Cricetulus griseus: one gene and its partners. The protein of the gene in region 1 purifies or fractionates together with the protein of each later gene. This does not show direct contact. Links are inferred from orthologs where the notes say so. Each region holds a gene or a part of one and is shown in the gene's direction. Other genes may lie near its edges. The genes, in order: Smarca5, Chrac1 and Bptf.

Region 1 (3,650 bases):
GTTGTGAGCCACCATGTGATTGCCGGGAATTGAACTCAGGACCTCTGGAAGAACAGTCAGTGCTCTTAACCGCTGAGCCATCTTTCCAGCCCGACGAATGCATTTTTAAGAATAGTATATTTATTACGAACTAGGAGTCAGACTGAGAATATTCAATTTAAGCTCCTTTTTTGGACAGTGTTCTAGATAGTGTAAATTAGTGACTAATGCTGCCTTCCATGTGTACATTTGTGTAATAGCACACTACATAGATGAAATTTTATGATAAAAATGGAACTTTGTTCACATTAATGTTATGTAATTTGCATTTATAATTTTTTAATAGGTACTTATTTTCCCATATGACTTGTATAGAAAGTAATTGTTCTTTAGGGTATTATTTGATAATATTTTAATCATGCCAGTAGTTTATAATTGGCAAAAGTGATTATCCCCATTTTATCCTTCTCAGGTTTCATGTCAGGTTATGTGATAGCCTTTAGATACCTAGGGATTTTGGAGTAAGAACATTTTATTTAGTTGACAATTCTTAAATCATTCAATTTCTCTTCCTACCAGGAAGTATTTGATGATGCATCACCTGGGAAGCAAAAAGAAATCCAAGAACCAGATCCAACTTATGAAGAAAAAATGGTATGTTCTATAAATGTAAATAGCATTTATAATTAAACTTTTTTAAAAAAAAGATTTGTAAGTATTTATTAGTTTACATATCAGGTGTCTCTAATTGTGCTGTAAAACTTAAAAAAATATTCTTTGTTACTCTTTTTTAGATGAACATAACTTTAAGGCACTTTTACCCACTATGGTTTAGAATCTGATACTAATACTGTACTAAAAAATACAATTGTAGTCCTGTGTCTAAAGTTCATTTCATTGTTGCTGGTCTCACATGTATGTATCATTCCCTGAAAATCTTTACCCTGAGAGACTATTCTCTCTCTCTTTTTTTTTTTTTAACAAATTTTTAAAGATTTATTTATTATGTAAACAGTGTTCTGCTTGTATGAATTCCTGCAGGCCAGTAGAGGGCACCAGATCTCATTGCAGATGGTTGTGAGCCACCATATGGTTGCTGGGAATTGAACTCCGGACCTCTGGAAGAACAGTCAGTGCTCTTAACCACTGAGCCATCTCTCCAGCCCATGAGACTGTTCTCTTTTTAAGAAAAAATAATTATCACAATTGGTTTTATTAAATTAAAGGTGTGTGCTACCAAATCTAACTTGTTTCTCTTTGTGTAAGTAAATTATCATGTCTTTAAAGTATCAGTTACTGAAGGACTTGAGACTTTGTTATTTTCTCTTTTTTTTTCTGAGACCGGGTGTCTCTGTGTAGCTTTGGAGCCTGTCCTGGCACTCGCTCTGGAGACCAGGCTGGCCAATGCCGGCTAAGATTTTATAAGAAACAAGTTTCTTAATAAATTCATTCTCTTGATGTGATAACAGGATATATTCAAAGGGATAGCTAATAAATATGAAAGAAATATTATTACATGACATTCGGTTGAAGAGTATTTATTGATAAGTGAATTACAGACCTGGTACCAATTTAAAATTTGGCATCAGGTTGAGTAACCAGTGTTTTCTTCTTCTGAATGCATTCCCTTGTACAATGTTTTGTTTTTTATGTTGAATTTGAAAGTCTTGTTCCTGCCATCTTATTAAAGGATAATAAACGTAAAATTTTGGAAATATATAAATTCATTTAAGTATTTTTGTAAGCAGGATGTAGAGTATTTTCTATCGATCATTTCTGCCCTCAACCCATTATCTCGTTTCATCTTTATGTCACTAACTAGTACTTCATATATTCATATATCCAACTTGATAAAATGCTTCCAAGAGCCAGAGTCACCTGTGTTGCTTTTCTGGCTTTTCTGGCTTATTTCAGTTATTTGTTCATTTTTATTCTTGAGTTTGTCATGCAGGCATGGGGAAATTGATTTCTAAACCTTAATAAAATGTGTCTTAAATTTTGCAGCAAACTGACCGAGCAAATAGATTTGAGTATTTATTAAAGCAGACAGAGCTGTTTGCACATTTCATTCAGCCTGCTGCTCAGAAGACTCCAACCTCACCTTTAAAGATGAAACCAGGGCGCCCACGGGTAAAAAAAGATGAAAAACAGAATTTGCTATCAGTTGGCGAGTGAGTAGTTTATATTTCATAGTTTAAACTAAACTTGTTTTCTAAATTCTTTTGGGAGGGTGTAGAGACAGGGTTTCTCTGTGTAGCTCTGGCTTTCCTGGAACTCACTCTGTAGACCAGGCTGGCCTCAAACTCAGATCTGCCTGCCTCTGCCTCCCAAGTGCTGGGCCTAAAGACATGCGCTACCATCACCGGGTTTAAATTCTATTTTTTTAAGGTTTTTAATTTATCTTCTGTAGTTTCACAGATATGGCCAGCAGTGTCTTAAGTATCTCAAAAATAAATACAATGACTTTTATACCGTATGTGCTCTATGAATTGTAACAGCGGTGTTGTTCATGGAATTAAGATGTTAACCTGTTTCTTAGAGAGGTAAAAATTGCAGAGGCTAAGTGTGTTAGTTACTGTTAAATAGAAATACATAGTCCCAACTTGAACTTGAATCAGATTTATGTTTTTGTTTTCCAAAAAATAGGTACATTGAGGATATATAATTTTTTTGTGTTGCTACTGGAGATTGAACCAAGGGGGGGCCTCATGCTTGCTGGATGAGCATTTTATCACTGACTTTTAAAATCTACCCATCTTTTTTCACTTTTTGAAATTTTGAGACAGGCTTTTACTGAGTTGTCAGAGTTGGCCTCAAATAGAACTTATGGACTTAAGGTCCTTCTCTGTCAGCACTCTAAGTAGTTAGAATTGCAAGTCTGTAATACCAGCCATGGTAATAAGGGTGGTTTTCGGCTTACTCTGCTTTTCAACTTTTTATTTTATTTATTTTCTTAATGTTTGGGGTACGCTGGCTCTAACCAGGACTTGTACTTAGATTAGATAAGTGCTCCACCATTGAGCTACATCTGTGGCGGTGGCTTAACTGTTAAGATTGTTGTGATGTCATCATTTGTCTACTGGGTTGACATAAGAGTCATTATTAGTTGATTTTTCTTTTATTTTGACAGCTACCGACACCGTAGAACAGAGCAAGAGGAGGATGAAGAGCTATTAACAGAAAGCTCCAAAGCAACTAATGTCTGTACTCGGTTTGAAGATTCTCCCTCATGTATGTTAAATTCATTGAATCATTTGGTTTTCAAAGGCTCTTCCTTTGAGACATCTTTCTTTGACATTTGAATTTGCTTTTTCTATAATTTACAAAGGGAATTCTTAGGAATCTGGATAGTTAGAGGCTGTGAATAAGTTAGGTGTTTTTGATCTGAGATGTTAATATCTTGACTGGCGTTATAGCTGTAGAGTACAAAGCCTTGGCTTTGATCCCTAGAGCTAGAACTGAGAGATGATAGTATGTGCTGTACTTCAGAAGTATATGAAAATGCCATTTAATTTATTATGGTTCTAAGGTACATGTAAAATGGAGTGATTTTGCCTCTTATTTTTCCCAAACAAGAAAACTACTTTGTAAAAGAGTGGGGGAAAAAAAAATCAAGAAAACATTAATTTGCTGGTGTTTTCACGTGAATTTATCATTTTTGTGAAATGTAT
Region 2 (3,750 bases), on another chromosome or scaffold:
ATCTATGATAGACAACACTGAAACCTAACATGATCCAAGCTACAAAACCCTGCCGGTTAGCTGGGCATTGATGGTGCACACCTTTAGTCCCAGTACTCAGGAGGCAGAGGCGGGAGGATCTCTGTGAGTTCGAAGTCTACAGAGCCAGTTCCAGGACAACCTCCAAAGCAACACCGAGAAACCCTGTCTCGAAAAACCAAAACCAAACCAAACCAAACAAACAAAAACAAAAATCCCTGGCAATTTAGTTCCTCCAATTAAATTTGGTGCCAATTTACAAGTTTTGTCCTATTCAGGCCACATCAACTTTCCCAACTTTACAACTCATCTTGGCGGAAGTCCATGGTCTCATGGTTCCACCTTTGGACCCCGACTTCCTGCTATTGCTCTACGGACCACCACTTGCTTGTATGTTTCTGAACAGTCTTCATTCTACCTAATCTGCTTCCTACTCCTTCAGATATGATTCATCTCCTTCAACGAGATCTTGTGTGCTTTGTTTTGTTTTGTTTTTCGAGTCAGGGTTTCTCTGTGTCTTCCTGGCTGTCCTGGAACTGGCTCTGTAGACCAGGCTGACCTTGAACTCACCAGAGATCCGCCTGCCTTTGCTTCTCCAGTGCTAGGATTACAGGCGTGTGCCACCAACGCCCGGCTAGGTCTTGTGTGCTTTGATTGGCCTTGAACCCTTGCTGATCCTCTAGGCTTTGTGGTGGGATTACAGGAGACTCAAGGGCCATCTCACCCGCCTCTTTAACAGGCTAATCCCCATGGGCCCTAGGGCAAGGGCAGAGGCTGCTTCTCCTCCCTACTTCCCTGGCCAAACGTTGCTTCTTTCTCTCTTTTCCGGTCACACCGTTCATCTGATTACCCGAGTGTGGCACATGCTTGCTTGCTGGCCACCTCTAGAACGAGGCGTCATAACACATTTCTCTTTCTTTAGCTTTTGACAGGACGGGTCGGTGCAGCTCGGGGATTCCCGAACGCACTAGGAAGCCTGCAAGCAAGAGCTTCTTCCGGTCGCCAGCCGCGGCGTTGGCGTTTCCGAGGGGATCTTCCTGGGTGCCGTCACCCAAGCTTTCGGGCCACCGCGCGACACGGCGTCTGCGCAGGCGCGAACGCGCGGGGCATCACGGGCCGCCGGGACACAGAAGATGGCGGATGCGGCCGTGGGTAAGGACAAGTGCGGGGAACAGCGGCTCGTGTCGCTGCCCCTGTCCCGCATCCGAGTCATCATGAAGAGCTCTCCTGAGGTGTCCAGCATCAACCAGGAGGCGCTGGTGCTCACGGCCAAGGCCACGGTGAGCGGCCGGCGGGGCGACGTGAGGGCGGGTGCGGGCACTAACCGCCCCTCGGGCTCCGCACACGCCCAGCCTTTCGGCTGCCCTGCGGGGGCCGCGCGCCCCAGCCTCTTCTCCTGCGCCTGCGCGCTCCGTATCCCCCCTCCCCGTGGTCTCAGCCCCGCCCACCCGCGCCGCTTGTCCTCTGGGCTGCTTCCGCCCTGCGAGCTCACTCCTCTCCCAGCGTTCCTTGCGCCCTGCCCACCGCGTCATTCCCTGGGAGTTGATGCGGGTCTCCACTGCGCGTGCGGCCCTCGGTTTCTGTCGCTGGCCTCCCGCGGAGTGATGCGCGCGGGAGGGGGTGGTGTCTCGAAGCTTCCAGGGTATATCCTGTCTGGGTATCTAGGGATCTCCAGCCTTCAGGCCTCTGCAGATCGTCAGGTCTATGCAGGCAACAATTGGTCACAAGTTGGATTCCAGGGACAAGTTTATAACCAACCACACAGCCCCCCTCCCAAAACAACACAGATCGCTTTGTGTTTTTATTCATTTTGTGTTTTGAGACGGGTCTCTATATGTTTCCCCATGCTGGCACTCTGTAGACCGGGATTACCTCAAACTCGAAAGAGATCCACTTGCCCCTGGTGCCACCAAGCCCTGCTCACTTGGTTTTGGCCTCACCATTCTGAGTGCTGGGTTTAAAAATTCTTAACCACCGTTCCTGGTTTAAAGTTTGGTCTTGATAGTGGTGGTCCGGAACCTTCCTGTTAGGAGAAGCGGCCTTGGAAACTGCCTCTAAGGTTGTTTTCAGCTTCTTCGTCTATTTCAATGTTAGTACTTTTACAATATTACGCACTAGGGCCAAGGGAGGTGCGAATGTTGTGACTTTGCAACAGAGCCAACATTAAGTAGTAGAGTCTGACAAAATACAGTAGTTCCCAGTGTCCTCCTTTTTGATAGTGATATACTATTTACAAGCAGTCTGCACACATTCCTATTTCTTTCGTGTGTGTGTGTGTGTGTGTGTGTGTGTGTGTGTGTGTGTGTGTGTGTGTGTTTTGAGACAGGGTTTCTCTGTGGCTGTGGAAGCTGTCCTGGAACTTAACTCTTGTAGACCAGACTGGTCTCAAACTGCCTCCTGAGTGCTGGGGTTAAAGATCATGGGGAAATAATTGTTTATGTGTGGTCCTGGGACTCAGGTTTTCTGTTCAGATTCATTCTAGCATTAAGGATCTAAGAACTATACACACACGTCTCTCATTACTTATTAGCTGAACTAATACTGGACCTTGGGAAAGGTTCAATTTACCATATTTCTGACCCCTCGGATCTTGCCAGAGGTGGTTGGTATTTACTGTAGTACTGTAGTTATGAGTGAACAACCTTGGGACAAGAGACTCATGTACACTGAAAATGTGTTTCGGAGAAACAGACACATGGCAGCTCACATCTGTAATCCAGGCACTTGGGAGACTGAGGCAGGAGCATCTCCAGGAATTCAAGGGTAGCCTGGATTACAGAGTAATACCTTGTCTCAGTAAACTGTAAAGTCCTTGGCAGTCCAGATAGAATTTTTGAATAGTTTTTTGTTCCATTTTTAGGTGTTTATTTATTTATTTAGATACTGTAGATGATTGTTCCATTTATTGTAAAGGCTGGTGACACTCCACCCTACTTCATCACTGTTTCCAGATAGCATCTCATGTAGCTCAGACTTGCCTCAAACTTGCTATGTAGCCACAGTTGCCCTTGGTTTCCTGTGCCTCTTGCTTCCTCCACCTGTGGAGTGCTGGTATGATAAGTGTGCAGCACAGCTCTTCCCTGAAACCAAAGTCATTATAATCGTTGTAAATATTTTCCATGTTACACACCTAAGCTCAGCTGGAAAATGCCTGCTGCCTCCTGCTCTACACAGGCATGCTTCTTCCTCATATAAACTGATGTCTTATAATTTGAGGAACCAATCAGAAGTATTAATGGACTTTTAAGCTTACAAAATCTGTGATGAGTTTTCCAACCTGACCTTTCATCTGTTTTTTTTTTTTTTGTTTGTTTGTTTTGTTTTACTGTTGGTTTAGGAACTCTTTGTTCAGTATCTAGCCACCTGTTCCTACAGACACGGCAGTGGCAAAACCAAGAAAGCACTGACATACAGTGACTTAGCCAGCACTGCAGAGGACTCAGAGACCCTTCAGTTTCTCTCAGGTACTTAATCTTTGGGACATTCTGGTTAAAAAACAAAACAAAACAAAAAACTTGTAGCGGCTCTTTGTTCCTTTATTTTTCTGTGTGATGCCTCAGTTTACCCGGACCTGGCACAGGGAAGTGTTCTAGCCTTCTCTATTTGAGCCCATGAAGAATTGTAGAAGTTGACAATATACACAGGATGCATGGCTGGCTAGCAGACTCACTCAGAGCTGTATACTTGTCCTGTTCCCCCTGCACCCCAACAGAGTAGCTGGTACATGTACAT
Region 3 (3,750 bases), on another chromosome or scaffold:
GCCTTTTGCCAGGCACATGAGCCACCACTGAGCATCATTTCCAGCTAGCTGGTTTCTTTCAGCACGTTGACGGATGTCGATGCTTCATAATTGACTGAACTATTGATAAATAGTGAAACTAAAAAAAAAATACAAATCATAAATTCTGTTGAATGAAGTGTTTTGTGCTCAGTTGGGTGTGGGATTATCCACCTGTGGGACAGATTCAAGAGGCAAAGAGTTTCATGATTTTTGCCATGTTGCCGCCTTTGAAAAAAATTGAACCTAGCCGCAGTGGTGGCACACACCTTTAATCCCAGTGCTCAGGAGGCGGAGGCAGGTGGGTCTCTGAGTTCCAGGATTGCCTGGGCTACATCAAGAGACACCCTGTCTCAATCCCTATGAGCGCCTTTAGTGTTAAGGCTGGGAGGTTTGATACGTGTATAAGCGTAATTTGTGCTTCTAGCTAGACCTCAGGGAGTCTTGAGGCTTTCTTGGTTTACTTCTAAAGCCAACAGAGTATTTGTTACTTAGGCAATTAAACTACAAATCTACTGCCTCAGTTACCCTGTATTCCAAAGACTCTGAGGGACAAAATAAGGGAATTTGTTTACGGTTTTGGCCATGGAAGAGGATAAAGAATCTAATATGCTTCCCACAGTGCCCTATTCAGAATCTATGGAAAGCTGGGAGACAAAAGCGGGCGTAATGTAAATTGAACTGTGGTTTGGGATGATCTGTTTTTTCCTGGGTGGGGGAGGGGACTGGGTCCCACACCGTCTCTGAAGGGTTTATTTAAATCTCTTCTGGGTAAAATAGGGTTTTACAAGTCTCCATTTTGAAAGAGAAAAGAACATTTTGTGAGAAGGAAGATCCCGCCCCCATGCTCTTGCTGGTAGAGTTCTTTGTCCCTAGGTCCACTCCTTTAGTAGGTGGAGAGTTGAGGCTCTTGTTATCTTGTGGCGGATTCCTGCTTCCTAGGAATTTTGCAAGTGAAAAAAGTTAATTGTCTGAGTCAGTCTTTCTAGAATCCTTTCTCTTGCACTGCCCTTCCGATTGATGAGTGCTATAGACTAGACTTGAGCTTCAGGGACTTGAAGGGAACATTTTTAATTTCCTATCTAGATATATCTACCTGTAGTGTAAATCATATGGGAGAGTTCCCACCACGTGAGTCTTGGGGCGCACACTGTGCTTCTCAGACTTGGCAGCCTGTCCCCAGCTTCACAGTTAGGGACTCCATAGCTTCTTCCGTTCTTAGTTTTTGAGTTTTTTTTTATGTGTATGAATGTTTATGTATGTGCACCATGCATGTGCCTGGTGCACACAGAGTCCCGAAGAGGGTGTAGGAGCCCCTGGAACTGGGGATACAGATGGTTGTGAGTCACCATGTGGTTGCTAGGAATTGAAACCAGGTCCTCTGGAAGAGCAGCCATTGTTGTTAACTGCTGAGCCATCTCTCCAGTCCCTGAGGGGACTTTCTAACAGACATGTTCAGTATGCAGCTGAGGAGCAGAGGAACTTGCTCCAGACGTCAGTCTTTTGATGTGCTAACATCCGAGGACACAGGTAAGTCCTTGGGCACATGCTGAAGATACAATAGACTAACTCGCCCTGATCTTACTACTTGGTGGTTCTGAACTGTGGCATCATTGACACTTGGATTTCTGTCCTCCGACTTGTCATCTTCGCCTGCTGTGTTGGGATGGAGGAACTGCCTTCTTACTGTGTGCGTCCTGCAGCCTTGTCTGGCCAACAGTGACCAGATTTTCTTTCACAGAAAGTAATGGCTCTGTTCTTATCTGAAAAAATCTGTTCTCCAGATACTTGGACGTTGGGGTTACAATGCATACATTGAGGGTCTTTTCTGTTTGTATTCTTTGGTGCTTCCTTTTCTCTAGTACCATGTACCACTTTGGTTTGCAGGTAGAAACCCAGGGAAGGTGCTGGGGAGCAGTTACAAGCAACTCACTGTCATGGTGAATAAAACTTAGTTGTACAAGAATCAATTTAATCGATCTTATTAATGTTACTTTTGAAAATTAGAAACTTACCACTCCACAGACACCAGAAATTAAGTGTAATAGAAACAGTTTAGAAATAACTTGTTCCTTTGTTTGTTTGTTTGTTTGTTTGTTTGTTTTTGAGACAGGATTTCTCTGTGTAATAGTCCTGGCTGTCCTGGAACTCACTTTGTAGACCAGGCTGATCTTGAATTTACTGAGATCCACCTGCCTCTGCCTCCCAAGTGCTGGGATTAAAAGTGTGGGCCACCACTGCCCTGCTAGTTACTATTCCATGGTCTGTCTGTGCATGTGTGTAGATTCATGGATGAGGGATGGATGGGTGGATGGGTGGGTGGATGGGTGGGTGGGTGGATGCAATGTGTGGTTTGTGTGCACTTAATTGGTTGGTTAAAAATTACAGCCCTTTGTTGTTTTCCCAGCCAAGACCCCTTTTCCTCTTCAGTTCTGGAACTTTCTGTTCTTTTGCCTCCTTTCCCCGCCTGTCCTGAGCCTGCACTTCACTAGCTCCTTGCAAACAGTACTTCTGTCCAAAGGGGGCACACTGGGAATTTTTTGTTGGTTGTGAGGTGTCTAGCTGATTCAATATGAGATCTGCTGCCCCACCTACCTAGTGCTGGTCACTTTATATGAAGGTAGTTAATTTTTTATTTTGTCAAATTTTTACCAACACATTAAAAAAGACCAGTTACCTATAGTTAATTCTGGTCACTTTATATGAAGGAGGCTATTTTTTTTTCATTTATATTTTGTCAAATTGTTACCAAAGCATTTATAAAAAAAAAAACAGTTGCCTATAGTTAGGTAATTGACTATACTCTTTTTTTTCTTTTACTTCTGGTTTAGAATTGAATAGGAAGCCAGGAGTGGTGGTGCACACCTTTAGTACCAGTTCCAGTACAGCCAGAGGTACACAGAGAAACCTTGTCTTGAAAAAAAAAAAAAAAAAAAAAAAACAAAAAAAGTAGGGCTGCAGAGATGGCTTAGCAGTTAAGAACACTGACTGTTCTTCCAGAGGACCTGGGATCAATTCCTAGCAGCCACATGATCACTCACAACTGTCTGTAAACTCCAGTTCCAGGTGATCTGACATCTTCATAAAGCATACAATTAGGCAATACACCAATTTACATGAAAATTAAATTATTAAAGAAAAGAATTTTAAAAAAGCAAAAAAGTAGATGGATAGGAAGATAAGAGAATCGAGTGGAAAGCTTTGGATTTAGATTTTTTTGTAGCCTTAACAACCAGAACTAAATCATTGTATTAGGTATAATGACTTACACTTACAATAATTCCAGTCATAAATGGACTATAGCTCCAGGCTAGCCTGGGCTACAGAATAGTGGGACTGTCATAAAAATTAAAGAATTAAGTCATTGAGCTTTATTACTATTATTATGGTCATTGTTGTTATTGAAATTGTCTCACTATTTAGACCAGGCTGTACTGGAACTCATAGAGCTTCACCTTCCTCTGCCTCCTGAGTACTGGGATTAAAGGCAGCATGTACCCTCACACCGGGCTGGTGTTGTGTTTCCTATTTTAATAATTCTGGGCATGAGCTGGATGGTGGTGGCACCTGCCTTTAATCCCAGTGCTTGGGAGGCAGAGGTTTATGAATCTCTGAGTTCTAGGACAGTCAGCACTGTTACACAAAGAAAAAACAAAACCAAAAAAAATTTCTGGGGCTGAGCCCAAGGCTGAGACATGTTAAGTGCCCTACCACTGAGTTATACCTGTGATC

The links.
Region 2: the proteins of Smarca5 (region 1) and Chrac1 fractionate together in Homo sapiens (co-fractionation; 5 studies listed by BioGRID and IntAct, with this or other methods). This does not show direct contact. The link is inferred for Cricetulus griseus from reciprocal best matches to the Homo sapiens genes SMARCA5 and CHRAC1.
Region 3: the proteins of Smarca5 (region 1) and Bptf purify together in Homo sapiens (affinity purification with mass spectrometry; 4 studies listed by BioGRID and IntAct, with this or other methods). This does not show direct contact. The link is inferred for Cricetulus griseus from reciprocal best matches to the Homo sapiens genes SMARCA5 and BPTF.

Annotation. Positions count from the first base shown.
Region 1 is NC_048596.1:156,507,843-156,511,492, reverse strand, and holds part of Smarca5 (SWI/SNF-related matrix-associated actin-dependent regulator of chromatin subfamily A member 5), read left to right. Parts: intron 1-558; coding exon 559-633; intron 634-1,983; coding exon 1,984-2,150; intron 2,151-3,109; coding exon 3,110-3,210; intron 3,211-3,650. UniProt on the Homo sapiens protein: ATPase that possesses intrinsic ATP-dependent nucleosome-remodeling activity.
Region 2 is NC_048595.1:370,762,115-370,765,864, forward strand, and holds the start of Chrac1 (chromatin accessibility complex protein 1), read left to right. Parts: upstream 1-1,104; 5' UTR 1,105-1,151; coding exon 1,152-1,298; intron 1,299-3,355; coding exon 3,356-3,482; intron 3,483-3,750. UniProt on the Homo sapiens protein: Forms a complex with DNA polymerase epsilon subunit POLE3 and binds naked DNA, which is then incorporated into chromatin, aided by the nucleosome remodeling activity of ISWI/SNF2H and ACF1.
Region 3 is NC_048600.1:120,064,147-120,067,896, reverse strand, and holds the start of Bptf (nucleosome-remodeling factor subunit BPTF), read left to right. Parts: upstream 1-1,454; 5' UTR 1,455-1,469; coding exon 1,470-1,548; intron 1,549-3,750. UniProt on the Homo sapiens protein: Regulatory subunit of the ATP-dependent NURF-1 and NURF-5 ISWI chromatin remodeling complexes, which form ordered nucleosome arrays on chromatin and facilitate access to DNA during DNA-templated processes such as DNA replication, transcription, and repair.